Linked DNA regions of Saccharomyces cerevisiae S288C. The protein of the gene in region 1 purifies or fractionates together with the protein of each later gene. This does not show direct contact. Each region holds a gene or a part of one and is shown on either strand. Other genes may lie near its edges. The genes, in order: PUS9 and MDJ2.

Region 1 (8,326 bases):
CTACGGAAGTAGTTGGATCAGCTGAAGTAGTTTGAACGGTCGAGGTAGTTGGGTCAGCTGAAGTAGTTGGGTCAACTGAAGTAGTTGGATCAACTGAAGTAGAACTGACTATAGAACTAGTTGGGTCAACTGAAGTAGTTGGATCAACAGAAGTAGTTTGAACGGTCGAGGTAGTTGGATCAGCTGAAGTATTTGGGTCAACTGAAGTAGTTGGGTCAACTGAAGTAGTCACAGCGCTTGAACTAGTTGGGTCTTCTGAACTTGAACTTACTACTTAAGTGGTTGGATCAACAGAAGTAGTTTGAATGGTTGAACTGGTTACATCGCTTGAACTACTAGAGTCACTTGAAGTGAAACTGCTGAAAGGACTAGTTGAAGCTGCTAATGTGGTGACATCAGTAGATGTTCTTGAACGATAAATATCGGCTACGCTTGATGAAGTATGTGAGTCAACGGAAGTAGTAAAATCAATGGATGTAGTGGAAGAGCTTTTCACAGTAGATGACGTAGTAGTGGAAGTTTTCGTAGAGGATGAAGTAGTAGAGGATGAAGTAGTAGAGGATGAAGTAGTAGAGGATGAAGTAGTAGAGGATGAAGTAGTAGAGGATGAAGTAGTAGAGGATGAAGTAGTAGAGGATGAAGTAGTAGAGGATGAAGTAGTAGAGGATGAAGTAGTAGAGGATGAAGTAGTAGAGGATGAAGTAGTAGTGGATGAAGTAGTAGTGGATGAAGTAGTAGTGGATGAAGTAGTAATGGATGAAGTAGTAATGGATGAAGACGAGGCTTTTGTACAAGTGCCATCATTGTTTCCCTTGCACTGGTAGGTCCAATAAAATCCAGGGAAATCCGTTTGTGAGTGGCCTTGATTGTCATAATTGTTACAACCTGTCGATAAATCGAAGGTGGTTGTCCCCCATTGCCAAGTTTGCCAGTACTGAGCAGCATCACCTTGTAGATATTCGAACTGGATTTGGAAATTTGGCATCCAAACTGTGCAACCGTCAGAAGAAGGGTAAGCATAAACCTGAAAAGTGGATGTAAAATCTGTTGGATCACTGATTAGGTATGTCTTCTCATTTTTGCCGTAAAGTTGTACGGTGCTTGAGGGACCGTTGACACCAATAATCTTTAAAGACCATAAATATTTCAAAGGGATATCTTTTACGGCTTTGACATGAATAGTAATCTGGTATGTGTTATCCTTGACCCATGATACGGAAGTAACATCCATATCATAATGTAGTATATTCTGTTGGCTCATGTGCCAGTTGAAATCCAAATTTGGACAACCATTGATAGCAACGCTTTCGTCTCTTTTGCTTAGATCAAATGAAGGGCTCACCTTGTCATCAATTCTATCAGCAGTCGCTGAATTTGTGAGCAAGGCCGCAAATAGGAGGCAAAATGATATTAGTAGTTTTCTTATGAATGATGTGGATACCTATTTTACACTTTTGCAACAAGGGGAGGAAAATTGCCAAGACCATCATGACATTGGAGGAAGTGATTTGCTTCTCTTAAATATAAAATAATTAAACGATCATGGAGATGCAGCGAACTAATGTGAAAAATTTTTCTTTCCAGTAGTATCGGTTATTCTGTAAGCATAGAATCGGGTATTAGTGGCTTGTTCCGAGCTTTTTTTCTTTGCCAATAAGAAAACAAGTAAAATGCAACGTGCAAATGCTGATCTGATCTCGCCTGGGCCAGTTTTATCGTCATGTGCGCGTGTAGGCACGAAAAAAAAGAAAAGACCGCTACCTCTCCTTCTAAAATGACAGGAGGAGAATATAAGGTTTGGCAGCCCCTTGAAAGAGCCGCAGGAACCAAAAAAAAAAGAAGGAAAGTTTATTTTTTTCTTTTTCCAAAAGACTTTTTAAGATGTTTGTCAGCAAGATAATACAGGACCTACACGACTATCAGTCACAGCCAGAGAAACGTTTGTCGTATGATGGCAAAATATTTTTCCCACAACTTTGAAATTATTTTCAAATATGGCAGAACAGTTTAACATTTGGTTTCAAGAGGTAGCACAAGTTCTTGAATAGTATTTGTTCGCGTTAAGATGGAAGCAGGCCAAATGCCCCAATAATCTAATAACCGTATTTTCTATGCTAAAGGAGGAACGAACACTCGGTCTTGTACAGGCAGCTCTAAAAGGAAAATTTCCATCCCCCCAGGCCAAGAAAATCAGAATCATATGGCCCCCTTCCATTCTAACGGAATAGTATATCAAAGAAATAATGTTTACGTAAGCCATAGACAAGCGATATAATCTTTTTTATCCTTAAACTAGGTGCTTCATTAAGAAAGAAGAAGAAAAGAAGAAAGTACGACAAAGACTCCCCGCTGGACAATAAACGGGGGCGGCAGGTGTTAATTCCGAATTGAAATTTAAATTTGACATAAGCAAAGTTTAAAGTTTTTTTTTTCCAGTTCTTTTTTCCCATCGTTTTTTTTTCTAGAAGCCGGGTTTTTCACCGTCAAAAAATTTCCTAAAAAAGATCTGTCAATCATTAAGTTTTGCTTTTTCGGCTTTTAAGCCATGCTTTCAGGCAAAAATTAAGATTTCTTCGTAAAGATCGGAGCCTTACGCCCAAGAAGCAACTGGCCGTAAAATTTTTTCTTCGATCGGGTGGCAAATGGAACAGAAGATCATGAGTAGAAGGAAAAGTAAACAAAGAATTGCGTCGGTCAACCGGTTGTTGCTGCGTGCTTCAGCGGGTGATAAATAAAAGATTTCCTATCTGAGTAATCGATGACACAAGCGGTCTGCGCTCGGTCGCTTCCAAGCCTTAACAAAGTTTTTACTTTATGGTTTTTAATAAATAAATAAAAAGAAACGTGGATTTGGATAGCAGAAAGCCTCGAAGATCATTTTATCAATGAAATTTTATGGTTAACACTTTCAAGACTCCGATTTTCTCTGCTACGTGAAATTTTAGGTTGCGAAAAGAATACTACCGGGAATACTAGGAGTGTGGAAGAAAAGAAATGGAAAAGAAAAGGAGAAGTGGTCATTCTTCACATCTCATTGTCTTCCTCCTGTAAAGATTTTAGCTTTTTTATAAATTAAGATTAAGATTGTAGCGTGATGTTCTGTTACTGTCATTTTTGATTGGCCAATGACTGATTATAACAGAAGACCAGTTTTCTATGTATTATTGTCCGACAAGTCAGGAACCTCTATCTTCTCAGAGCCCATTCTGGATACTCTGTTTTGTAGCACCACTTTTTCTTTTCGGTTCCTTCTTCAGTCTCAGTTGATTCGTATAGATAGGCATGTAACCACAGATCAAGATCATTGGGGCCAGGATCAGTATACAAATCAGATTCACAAATAGAACATTTTTCTTGCCTTAATACCTCACCGTACCCGCCATTACTATGGAACCAACTTTTAGCAGGTTTTCTTTTCCCTATTTCGTCTAGCTTAGTAATAACTATATCGAAGTCAGCCTGGCCGCCTTTTCCGAGATTGTTACCCCATACTTCATCATTGGAATAAATAGGATCGTTAGCAATTGGGTGGCCTAAGTACTGTAAATGTACTCTAATTTGATGTGATCGCCCGGTAAGCGGTTTGCACTTTACAATACTCGTTTTACCGTCGTAGCTGATTCTGTTAAAAACAGTTTTTGCATGTTTGGCTCCTTTCTCGTCCATTTGACAAACTGCATTAAGAGCAAGCCTTGGCTCGATCAGTTTTAGAGGTTTTTCAACAATTACTTCCGTTTCTGGAAATTCTCCAACTACCTTGGCCACGTATTCCTTAGTGACTTCTCGAGCTTTTAGTTGATCGCCGATATTATCGGCTCCCTTCGGAGTTTTTGCCAAAAACATTAATCCACTTGTAAGCCTATCTAACCTATTACATGGGTTCACAACAAATCCGAGATTATTTTGAAGCATTTTCGTAATTGTATTGAACCGATATCGGCCAGTTGGGTGAACAGGTATACCGCTCGGTTTATCAATAACCATTATGTTATCATCTTCAAAAATAACTTTGATAGGCCTGGAAGTGACTGGAGGTTCATGTCTATGTACCTGATGCGTAATCAGGTCACCATTGCGAATTACAGTAGATAAGTCCGCAGTTTCATCGTTTATATGAACGTCCCCGTTTTCGATTGTTCTTTTATAATATTCAGATTCACGATCTCGAAATTCAGATATAAAGACATCAACCAATTTTTTATCTCTCCAACGCTCTTTGCAAAAGGTCCTGTACGTAAAATGGTAGGGCTTGATTTTCCTTAGAGGGCCATCGATGACAATTTCATACTCTGGATCTAGTTGTCTATGTTTCTCTTTTTTGCTGCCTATCGTTCGTGATTGAAAAGTAGATTTATTAATCAAATCTGGCGATTTTTTTGATTGAGTTCGCTTTATTTTTTTTTTCTTTTGAATTTCCCTCTCTCTTTCAACCTCATTTTGCAAATGTTCATCAAACTCATTTGAGGTTGCATTACCTGCAAAAGCAAGACCTGCAGATAATGCATTCCTTTTGAGTTGTCGAGCCATTATTACTGGCACTGTAAACAAATTTCTTAACCTATTATTTCTTTGCATAAGTTTCCTATTCCATTATACGAGCACTCATCCATTTTCAAAAGTTTTTTATGAACTTTTTCTTAACTCGGTCTTTTGTTCTCTAATGGTTCGCCGCCAGACAGAAAAAAAGCTTACTTATCGAGGAATCACATTGCTTCAATGAATAAATTCTATAATGCATATACTACCTAACATATATAAGAGAAGTGAGCGTCATTCATGTCGGCTACTTGTCAATTTGTATTACGTTCCTTACTTTCCATTTTCAAACATCGCGATACAAAAACTTTATAATGGTCCATTTCTTAAGAAGGCTATCAAATCTATGCCGCTACTATCACTACTATCATTATCGTTCTGCGCCTCAATTATTGGATCAGGAGTCGTACCTGGTATTGTGGGCTTGACCAGATAATTTTCAGATGCACTAGCATCTGAATAGCGTAAATTCTTATCCTCTTCAATGCTATTCTCATCATCGTTTGTGACAATATTGCTTGAAAAGAAGCTGGATTTGACCATACTGTTAGTTGAGACGTCCTGATGTTTATCGTGACTTTTATTTTGGTTTAATGCAAATTTCAACCCGGGTAGAGAAAAATGGTCGTTATTGTACCGTATTTTCAACAATCTGTTTAACTCATCAAGATCTATTCCGCCAAGCATTGGAATATGATGAATGATCCTCCAAAACAAGGGCACTTCAACCTCTTCGGCCGTGATGTTATTAAGCATTGCCTGTAGTTCAAGTGAATTTGATGGAAGGGAGCGATCGCTACTATTCGTTTTAGTCTCATCAGATTCTGTGCGTTTATTATCGTTTGAATCTTTGGCTGAATAGTAGTTTTCCCAGTATTCAAAATCGTCACAATTGTCATAAAAACTAAAGTGTAGTTTTAGTTCAAACAATTGTTTAAAGAAGCGTTCAACAAACCACAGTATACGCTTCAGAGGGTTTGTAGAATATTTCCAGCATTTTCTTTTCTTCCACTTACCACGATAATACCAACCTCTTTTCCCCCAATTGCTGTGACAAAACTTCAGAATTTCCTTTTCACCAAGCTCTCCTTTCAGAATATATTTTTCAATGAGATATTTTGATTCTGTTTTTGCCCATGAATAGTTCCAAGGTTTTTCCTTGAACAGGTAAACAATGACGTCGACGAGACAACTTAATGGTCGAACGCAAGTGTCAATGTATGTCACCCACATGGTAGGCCCATGCTTTATTTCATGATTGTATTGCAACGCATCTGCAATGATGGGGAAAAGCCATATCCCAATATACGACAGTGGATAAATGAATATTGCCCTTAGATTCTTTTGAATTTGTGCCCTACGTTTTTTCATTTGTTTGTAGGTTTGGGCTTGGAAATGCTGTTGTACGTTGGTGAAACTTGAATTTTCGCATCTGTCTGCATTATTATTCACTCTCTCCTGTGAAAATTGTTGAGACGGAGTAAATGCTTCATTAGAAAGTGTAGGAATATTATCGGCTGGATTAGTATTATTGTTATCAACGTTATTTTTAATATTATTACTATTATTATTATTATTGTTGTTGTTGTTGTTATTGTTATTATTATTGTTATTATTATTATTGTTATTATTATTATTGTTATTATTATTATTGCTATTATTGTTATCGTTATCGTTATCGTTATTGTTGTTGTTGTCGTCGTCGTCGTTGTTACTGTTGTTGTTGATGATGCCTCCTTTTTCCTTAATGTTACTAGTTATGTCGCTGTTATCGTTCTTATTATCATACATTGCTAAAGGAGATTCTAGAGAATTTTGGCAAGAGAAAGTCTGATGTCCCAGCATTGAACTTTTTCTTGTATCCAGTCCTTCATTTTCAACACTAAAAGTAACTTTATGCTCCTTTTGCTTGGATACTAGTTCCGAAGGATTGAGTGTGATGTCATTTTCACAATCAAAAGGATTATTTCTTTCCAAATCTGGCTGTTCAGACATTGCATATTTGGACATATCGAGTGGTTTAGCACTGTTATAGTCAAGTAAGCGAACTCCACCACTTGCCGAGACATTCTCATCACTACCTGTATTTGTTTTTCTGAATAGTGTAGGTATCTCATTCGAACTCTCACCAAAATTGAAAGTTCCATTACTACTACCTGAATCGTCTGTTTCCTCATTCGGATCTATGAACGAAATGGTGAAAAAATTCTTTAAATTTCTCAAAAGATGTAGCAATGGCAATTTAAAATAGGATCTGAAATACCATTTGGCTTTTCCCCAGTGACCGAGCCCAAATAATTTTTTCTTTTCTTTCTCTTCCTCTAGTACGTTATGGTTAAAGTCTCCAATTTGCGCTTTAATTCTTTTACTTTCACTGGTAATGAAAATATAAATACTGAGGTAGACTGCAAATATGAAAATAATAATGAAATATCTGGGACCCCAGCTTAAAACAATTTTATACCAGTACGGCTTGGGTGGTAAATAGCACCATGCACTCCAAGGTTTGTAGCCACCTTGCCTGGGAGAATCGGGAAAGTTGTAGTTATTATTATCCAGTATAATAGTGGTGTCAGAATCGTCATTGAGTTTATTATAATTAATGAAGGCTAAGCTTGCTAAAATGGCAGGTACTAATGCAGTAATTGGCCAGATATATGACCTTTTTTTGTACAAGCCACCCTCCATATTTCCCGATCTTTTATTTCGCCATTTCCAATTAGGCTTGAAGATCAAAATAGCAAAATGTATGGCGAATATCATTATGGCCATGTCTGCACCTTCGATGGCAAAGGCCGTAAACCAACCCAAGGTATTAAAAAATGCAGGTGTTGCATACACACTATTATTAATAAGGATAATCATGGGATAAATCATCAGAATAAAAGCTTTAAGAAAGTCGCAAATTATCAAAAATGCGATGAGATCATGTCTGAAGACTTTTCGTCTCTTATCCATTTTAGAAAGGAAGAACATTCCGAGGCAACCGGCAATAAGGGACACGGCAGACGCAGTTATAGCTATTATTCTTAACTGCAACAGTTGCGGAGCCGTGAATGTAGAGGTCATCCCCGGCAACCCCAGCAGCTGGTTAACCGTGGTAGTGTTAAGCTGTCGGAGAGAATCAACTCTCTTTTCTAGTAAGGATGACCCTTTCAACGCGTTTAAATTCGGGGGAAATCCCTCAGTTATCATTTTGAGTTGGAGAGTTTGCTTTATTCGTCACACTTCGGATCACTTGTTTGTCGTTTTTTTTTTTTGGTGACTCTTACTGCTTTTTATAGACACACACACACACACACACACACACCTTCTTCTGGATACCGTAGAGAAAGGGATGTAGACAAATAAAAAAGGACAAAAGCTAGAAAAAAGACGGAAGAGGACGTGCGATTGCGTTGAATATGACCTTCGCAAATAAATATTAATAAATATGACGTTTTTGCCGCAATGCTAATTCTATAACCCACTCCTTCGTTGCCTTCTATGCTTTAATTAAACAATGGGTCCGGCTCAAACCTGGAAGGAAGATTTATAAATCTTGAAAAGAAAAAAAAGTGTGATTTAAAAAAATGAAAAAGAAAAACAAGAGGGCAAAAAAAAATGAACTACTTATTGAGACATGATTCAAGGGAAAAGACCTTCATATATACAGATTACTTTTCGAAATGGTCAGCCGCTTCATGAGCTCTTCTTGGCTGTATCGTACCACCGTGGTTCAATTAGGCAAGTATGTTGCTAAGATTAATTGCTGCGGCGCATCGTATAAGGTGATATACTAAATTCATTA
Region 2 (7,115 bases), on another chromosome or scaffold:
TATTTACAAATTTACCTATACGCTCTGAGTTGATATTACTTAAGCACCTTCAAAATTAGCTCTCACCGCTTCATAATGATTCAGTTCAGCCCGCGACACACTTGGGGTGAGCTGCTCTTGTGCTTTCAAGAAGTCTTCCATTTTTACGACAACCTTAGTATCCTCTTTTGTCGCAATCTTATCAAACCAGCGACGTGTAGAAATATTCTCTCCCGTCAATTCGTTATGCTGAGAAACTTTTTTTTCTACCATGCGTGCAATTCTTGACATGGCGTTAAGCATTGCATCTGAGCAGAGAGCATAAAAATCTGCCCCGGTGTAATTAAATGGACATAGCTTTGCCAACTCAATAAGCTTTACGTCGTTGTCGAGCACGAATTTGCGAGTCAGAGCCTCTAAAATATTCAATTGTTTGGTATCCGTATCCGGAATGCCTAAATATAACAATTTATCGAATCGTCCTGGTCTTAGTAGTGCTTCGTCCAATAAGTCTGGTCTGTTTGTTGCTCCGATAACAAATACACCGTCAGCGTCGGTACTCATACCATCTAACTCTGCTAGTAACTGTGAAACGATACGATCCATAACACCACCCGAATCACCTTGATTACCACGTTTGGGTGCTACTGAATCGATTTCATCGAAAAATATGACACAAGGTTTAGCCTCTCTCGCCTTTTGAAACACTCTGCGCACATTAGCTTCACTCTCACCAATGTACATATTCAACAGTTCAGGGCCTTTAACACTAAAAAAATTTAAAGAAAAATTTGTTGCAATGGCCTTAGCCATTAGAGTTTTACCTGTACCCGGTGGACCATAAAAAAGAATACCGCTTCTCTTTTTCATACCTGAGGTAAATAATTCAGGATGTTTTAGCGGCATGTCTATTGTGTCCAATATTTCACCTTTAACAAAATCAATACCACCTATATCATCCCAAGTTACGTTAGGGATTTGTGGGGCACCAATCGAAACCGAGAATTCGTTCCTAGCTTTCGAAGTAGCTTTTGATAAATCCTCCTGAGTGATCAAAATTGATTGCGGAAGCCATCCACACTTCTTTGATTCTTGGTAAAAACGCGCAGTAGCCGTCATTCGTGCCGTTTCCACAATTGATTTGATGTCTAAAGGAGTTAAACCAGCAGAATATGAAGAGAGTGATGAAAATGAAATATTATCCATGTAAGATACTGGAACCTTTTGTTGAACATCTCTGTTTAGTTCATGTGAAGATAAGTACCACTGAAAGATACGCAGTCTCTGTGCTTCAGACGGAACGGGTACGAGAATCTCAAATCTCATATGTGATCTAAAGCTGGAAGGCACGTTATCTATGTTATTTACGGAGCCAACAAATGTAGTTCCTGGGAATTTAAACGTAAAATCGTCCAGAAGTTTAGACATTTCGAAGTTTATAGATTTTTGTAATTTGATTGCCTCTGGATCTTGATTAGCGTTTACGTCAAGCAAAATTGAATCCAAATGAGCCAAAAAAATCACAGCAGGTGATGCGTACGGTAGGACATTTTCACATTTAGCCCTAATGTAACCAATAATCTTAGATGTTGAATCCAGTTGTCTTGAATTTGAAGTGAGCGAAAGGCAATCTATCTCCAGTAGATGTATACCAAGATATTTTGAAGCAAATCTCACCATTGTAGCCTTGCCCACATTGTTTGTAGTGGAATGAAGTAACACAGAGGCATTTAGGGTGATTCCCCTTTGAGAACAATTGAAGGAAGTTTCTAATATGTTAACCAATTGTCTTACATAGGGGAAGATATGCAAATCATAGTAAAAAGTTTCAGCAAAACCGTAATATCTCTGAAGATTGGATCTACTCAAGGGTAATGGTCTTCTGTTAGTGATATTAGTTGTTATTAGCTTCGTCCGATTGGGATCAATAATAAAATGAGAATTATCTTTAGAGAAGCAATCGAGCTCTGCGCTTGTGACAAAGAACCATACAAGGGAATCGTTCTTGTAGTACTGCCCTAGCTCATCTTCGTCATCAGACTCATCATTTTCCTCTGCTATATTGAGATCAGCCATACTTGAATCAAAAGCGATTGGGATTAAATCATTTTGACAAAGAATCCTTTTGCTCTCGCTAAAAAACTTTTTCAAGGTTGTTAGAATAATATTTTGAAAGCATTTCTGAGATTGAAGCCAGCCTCCAACTCTTGAGATGAAAACTTGATTAGCAATGGGAATATCTGTATGGCCTATATTGGACTTTGATATTGTCACGACGCTGCAGTCTGGAAAGCTTGCTATTATTTTGGGAGGTGCGTATATTGTTCTTTTTTTAAAGCCGTTGGGGAGTAGTAAAACAAACAGCTTAACTAGCCTGACGCAACCCATATTTGACACTGTTATAAACGATCCACTTGTGACATCCAGGCGCAGTAGAGTTTCAGCGTCTGTAAAGGCATATATTGAATTATCATCATTGATGTGAGGTGCAGGTCGCAAAAGATCTCTTGAAATTGTGCAGGGGAGAGATTCAAGATCAATTGATAAAGCAGAATTTGTCCCTATTTTAGGTAATGCATATTCTTCATCTTCGTTAGCATATTTTAGAGCACTTAGTTTCTGCTCAGTATCATTTACTAATATCAATTGGGTTTCTGTAAAATCAACAAGGCCCTGCGGGAAAGGTGAGCAGTTTAAAATTTGGCAAAGACCAGATGTTAAAATATCTCGAGAATGAACCACGGTTTCCATGGAGTTGATGTTATATTTGTAATGCAAAAATTGTATTTGTTGCATCTCTTGCGGTAGGTCCATTAGTTTTGAGTACAATTGTTCATTAATCAGAAACGTTACGCTATCCAGTACAGGTACTACATTGTCTAATATGGGTTCAAAATAGCAAAAATCCATAGTGGGCTGTGTCGGCATAAACCCAAAAAGTTTGGAAGGTACAACAATGCTACAGAAGGGCAGTGAATCATCCAGGACACAATGTACAATTTTACCAGGCGTGCAACCTGGACCGTACTGAGGCAATCTAATTGTCCCATATAAACATTCAGCTTTTTTATCGCCGTATTCGAGATATATATCCCTAGAAATGCTACAGGGGGCGTATATTCCGGAGAGACTAAACGTAAGCGATGCCTTCATATTAATGTTACTATAATCGCTTTCTTTTGGAGGGTATGCAAACACATATATGCTCTCCACTACTGTTCTTTGTTCTAATTCTAATGACTTGTTTGAAAGTCTCCGATGGCCGCACTTTCCCGGAAGTGTTGACGATTATCGCCGTATACTATGTGGTGTAAGGAAGTGTAGCAATTGGCTACATGATATATAAAGTTCTTTTATCTCTTTCTTAGTAAAACACTTCTTTCGAGAACTTCTTTCGCCTCATTTATCTTGGCCGCCATGTAGGGACTCCCTCCTCTGTCTGGGTGGTTACGAACCATAGCCTTCCTGTGCTTTTTTTTCAGTAATTTTTCATCCAAGTGATTAATCTCTCTGGCGGAGATATCCAAGATGAGCAAGGCTTCGGGCTCTGTCATTCGCGGTGCAAAGCCTCCCTGGTACTGGTTTAATCTATTTTTCAGTTCTTCGTCTATCAGTGAGCTTTTGAACTTAAGTGCATCGCGGTAGCCCGCCGTCGGGTTTTCTATGCGAATGTTATTTAGTTTTGCAATAGTTAAAGGGGACAGGGTCTTGTAGACGGTCCATGCATTGAGACCAGACTTGACACTTAGAGCAACCATTGTCACGCCCAAACCAATTATTATAGGCAAAACCATGCTGGAATATCCTATTCTTTGTGGCTATACTGTGTATTGAGTGGATCCTAGCAACGAATTCGTTTGTTGTTATTTTTTTCTAGATTGTATCTCCGTTTCCGAAATTGTTATTCACAATGAGCGTTTACCTCTTGCAATAACAATAATCAGAGAATAAGCTACAAGACGAAAAATGACGTTGAGCGTGGCAGTAATGCCATAACGAAGATCAATAGTGTATGGGATGTTGGATATGTCGTTTCCCTGCCAAAGAAAAAGAAACACAAAAAAGAAAAAGCAAAAAAAAACAGTGCTAAGGATTTGATATTAAACGAAGTCCCACCATGGAGGATCATATCCCAATAAATTTATGCATAGAATGGTACCATTCACAACTAATATAGCCTCTGCTGGTTCCTTTAGTAACCTCTTTAGTAACCTCTTTAGTGAAATGGTTCTTGCTGGCTCTATTATTTTCCTAATTCGGACGCGCTGGCTCCGCGCCGTGAGGAAAAACAGCAGGCTGACAAGGGACTAATTTACTGACACTTTCGGCTGACACTTCCGAAAAGGTACTCAAGCTTTTATGAGTAAGATGCTGGTTTGATGCTAAGAATACGATTTAGTACTTCCTTTTTAATGTGGCTTGTTTTTTTTTTATTCGTCCATAACAGTACAAATATAAAAGCAGAATACATTCTTGCCGACCTAAAACTTGTGTCCTTAGACTCAAACTTTCTGATGGTTTTCTTTCAGTAGAATCAACATAAACAAGCATAATATAAAACACTACAATGAATAAACTATTGTTACATCTAGTACGAGTCATTTCGATACTCGGCCTAGCAAACGCTCTCACACAAACGCAACCGATTTTAAAAGATATTCAAATAACAGATAGTTATACCAAAACAAAAGAATGTACGGATCCAGATCATTGGTTCATAATAGAAGGGCAACTGTCTATTCCAAAGGGAAGTCAGCAAAATATAACATTCCAAGTACCAGATGCTTTCAGCTCATTCCCTCAAGAACCCTTCAGCATAAAACATAATTCTAACAGTGTTGCCACGATATCACGCCCAGATAAATCGACGAACAATTTCACCATTTCTATTCCAGAAAAGAGTTCAGAAGATATAACTACTACATTTAACTTCCTTGCACAGCTTACATCAGATGCTAAATCCAAAGTTACAGAACCAAAAAGCATCGTTTACAGTTTCTATTCAGAAAATACTATGTTTAATGACGTTATTGATTACGTCGCTAAAAATACTTCTGCTATAACAACAGATGGTGGTATATACAAAACTAATAATACCGCCTGGTTTACCGTTGACTTACCAATGAGAACGTTCAGAAATCCCGTTTATTTGACTTCTCAGACATCTTCCTCCTCAGATTACGTATTCGATACTTCGTTAACTAAGTTTGAGGTTGTCACTGCCGTTGATTCTTTTAACGAACCTATTAATGCTATCCCATATACAACTGTTCATGACTACTCCACAGAAGATGAAATTAGATGTTTATTTAATTCTACAATCAGCGGTGGGCTATACTTCCGTGTGACTTATTTCACAAAGAAGCTATCTACCTCGTCCATATCAAATACTGTCGAATTAACATATCCCGATGAAGGTACATCTGTCAGACTTTTAGGAAAGAGAGATACTTCAACCACCCTAGCCTCAGAATTATATTCTGAGTCAGCTGCTAACATTGATTCCACCACCAGTGATGACACAACTAGCTCTGATGCTGCTATAACACCAACATACTCAAATTCAACGCTTTCTTCTTATACTTCGCAATCATCCGCTATCCCTGAAGTTGCGGTTACTGCATCATTGAGTAGCGGGATCCTTTCTTCTACAGTTGACGGTGCTAGCACCTCGGCGGACGCTTCCATGTCCGCTGTCTCTACGGTTTCTTCTAGCAGTGAACAAGCTTCTTCTTCAAGTATTTCTTTATCGGCTCCAAGTTCTTCAAACTCAACCTTTACTACTCCTTCATCTTCTCTGTCTGCTACTGAAACATATAGTATTATCAGTTCAGCTAGTATATCTGTCACACAGGCTTCCTACATTGATAATTCTACAACTACCGCTGTTACCCAATCTACTTCTACTATAGCAGTTTCATCTGCTGAAAAATTGTCAAGCACTCTATCATACACCAGTAACGTCACAATATCAGTATCATCAGCTACCCAACATACTACTACTCCTTCATATGTTAGTAACTCCACTACACTCTCATCCTCATCTGTTCTTGAATCTGTAATTAGCTCTCCATACCTGGCAAACACTACTGTTTCAGGAGCTTCATCTGCAAGTCAATCTACTAATCCGCCATATGTCTCCAACTCCACAACATCATCCGCAACTCAATTAGCCACCATTGCTCCGTTCGCGATTAACATAACAGGAACAAGTATTTCTTCTAGTATCACTAATACTTCTTCAGTTAGTTCTACTACGTCCAGTTTATCATCCGGCCCATTTGTTTCAAACACAACGGTTGCCTCTGGGTCTTATATTCTAACCACTACTACAGAGTCTGCACAACTTACTGAAATAGGGAGTTTGATACCAATCTCGACTATTACTACTAGTACCACCACTTCTGGTACCGATAAAACTGGTAGTAATAAGGTGGCCTCTTCAACTGAAATAGCGCAATCTATCGTAAACAACAGTTCACTTTCGGTGTCAACAATCAACACTAACGCTGCGACAGCAGCTGCTAATGCCAGAAATGCTACTTTCACTCATGCAACCCATTCTGGTTCGCTTCAACCCTCATATCATAGCAGCTCACTATTATCGTCCACAATTGACACCAAGGTAACTACTGCTACTACAAGCACCAGTAGAGACGGTAGTTCGAGTTTGGCTTTCACCACTGGGCTCAATCAATCCGTAGTTACCGGTACAGATAAAAGTGATACCTATAGTGTAATTTCATCCACAGAATCAGCCCAGGTTACGGAGTACGACAGCTTACTTCCAATTTCCACCCTGAAGCCTACAGTCGTTACAGGTACAAGTAGAAACAGTACCTTTAGTATGGTGTCCTCCACCAAATTGACCGAAGCTACTGCAACGGATAAAGGTGATGCGTATAGTGTAATTTCATCTACACAGTCGGCTCAAGTTACTGAATATGGAAGTATGCTTCCAATTTCTACGCTGGAAACACCAACAGTCATTATGAGTACCGATGAAAGCGGCTATTTTACTTTAACTACATGTACTGAGTCTGGGCAAGCTACAGAATATGGTAGTCTGATTCCAATTTCCACACTAGATGGTTCAGTTATATATACATTTACTGGCGAAAGTGTAGTGGTGGGTT

Evidence for each region.
Region 2: the proteins of PUS9 (region 1) and MDJ2 purify together in Saccharomyces cerevisiae (affinity purification with mass spectrometry, with the first as the bait; one large-scale study listed by BioGRID). This does not show direct contact.

The regions. Positions count from the first base shown.
Region 1 is NC_001136.10:384,327-392,652, forward strand, and holds PUS9 (pseudouridine synthase PUS9), read right to left. Parts: upstream 4,576-8,326; coding exon 3,187-4,575; downstream 1-3,186. Other genes in the region: BSC1 (Bsc1p), read right to left, coding at 275-1,261; GPR1 (Gpr1p), read right to left, coding at 4,846-7,731. UniProt on the Saccharomyces cerevisiae protein: Responsible for synthesis of pseudouridine from uracil-32 in mitochondrial transfer RNAs.
Region 2 is NC_001146.8:19,502-26,616, forward strand, and holds MDJ2 (Mdj2p), read right to left. Parts: upstream 3,774-7,115; coding exon 3,333-3,773; downstream 1-3,332. Other genes in the region: PEX6 (AAA family ATPase peroxin 6), read right to left, coding at 40-3,132; EGT2 (Egt2p), read left to right, coding at 4,547-7,115. UniProt on the Saccharomyces cerevisiae protein: Plays a role in mitochondrial biogenesis and protein folding.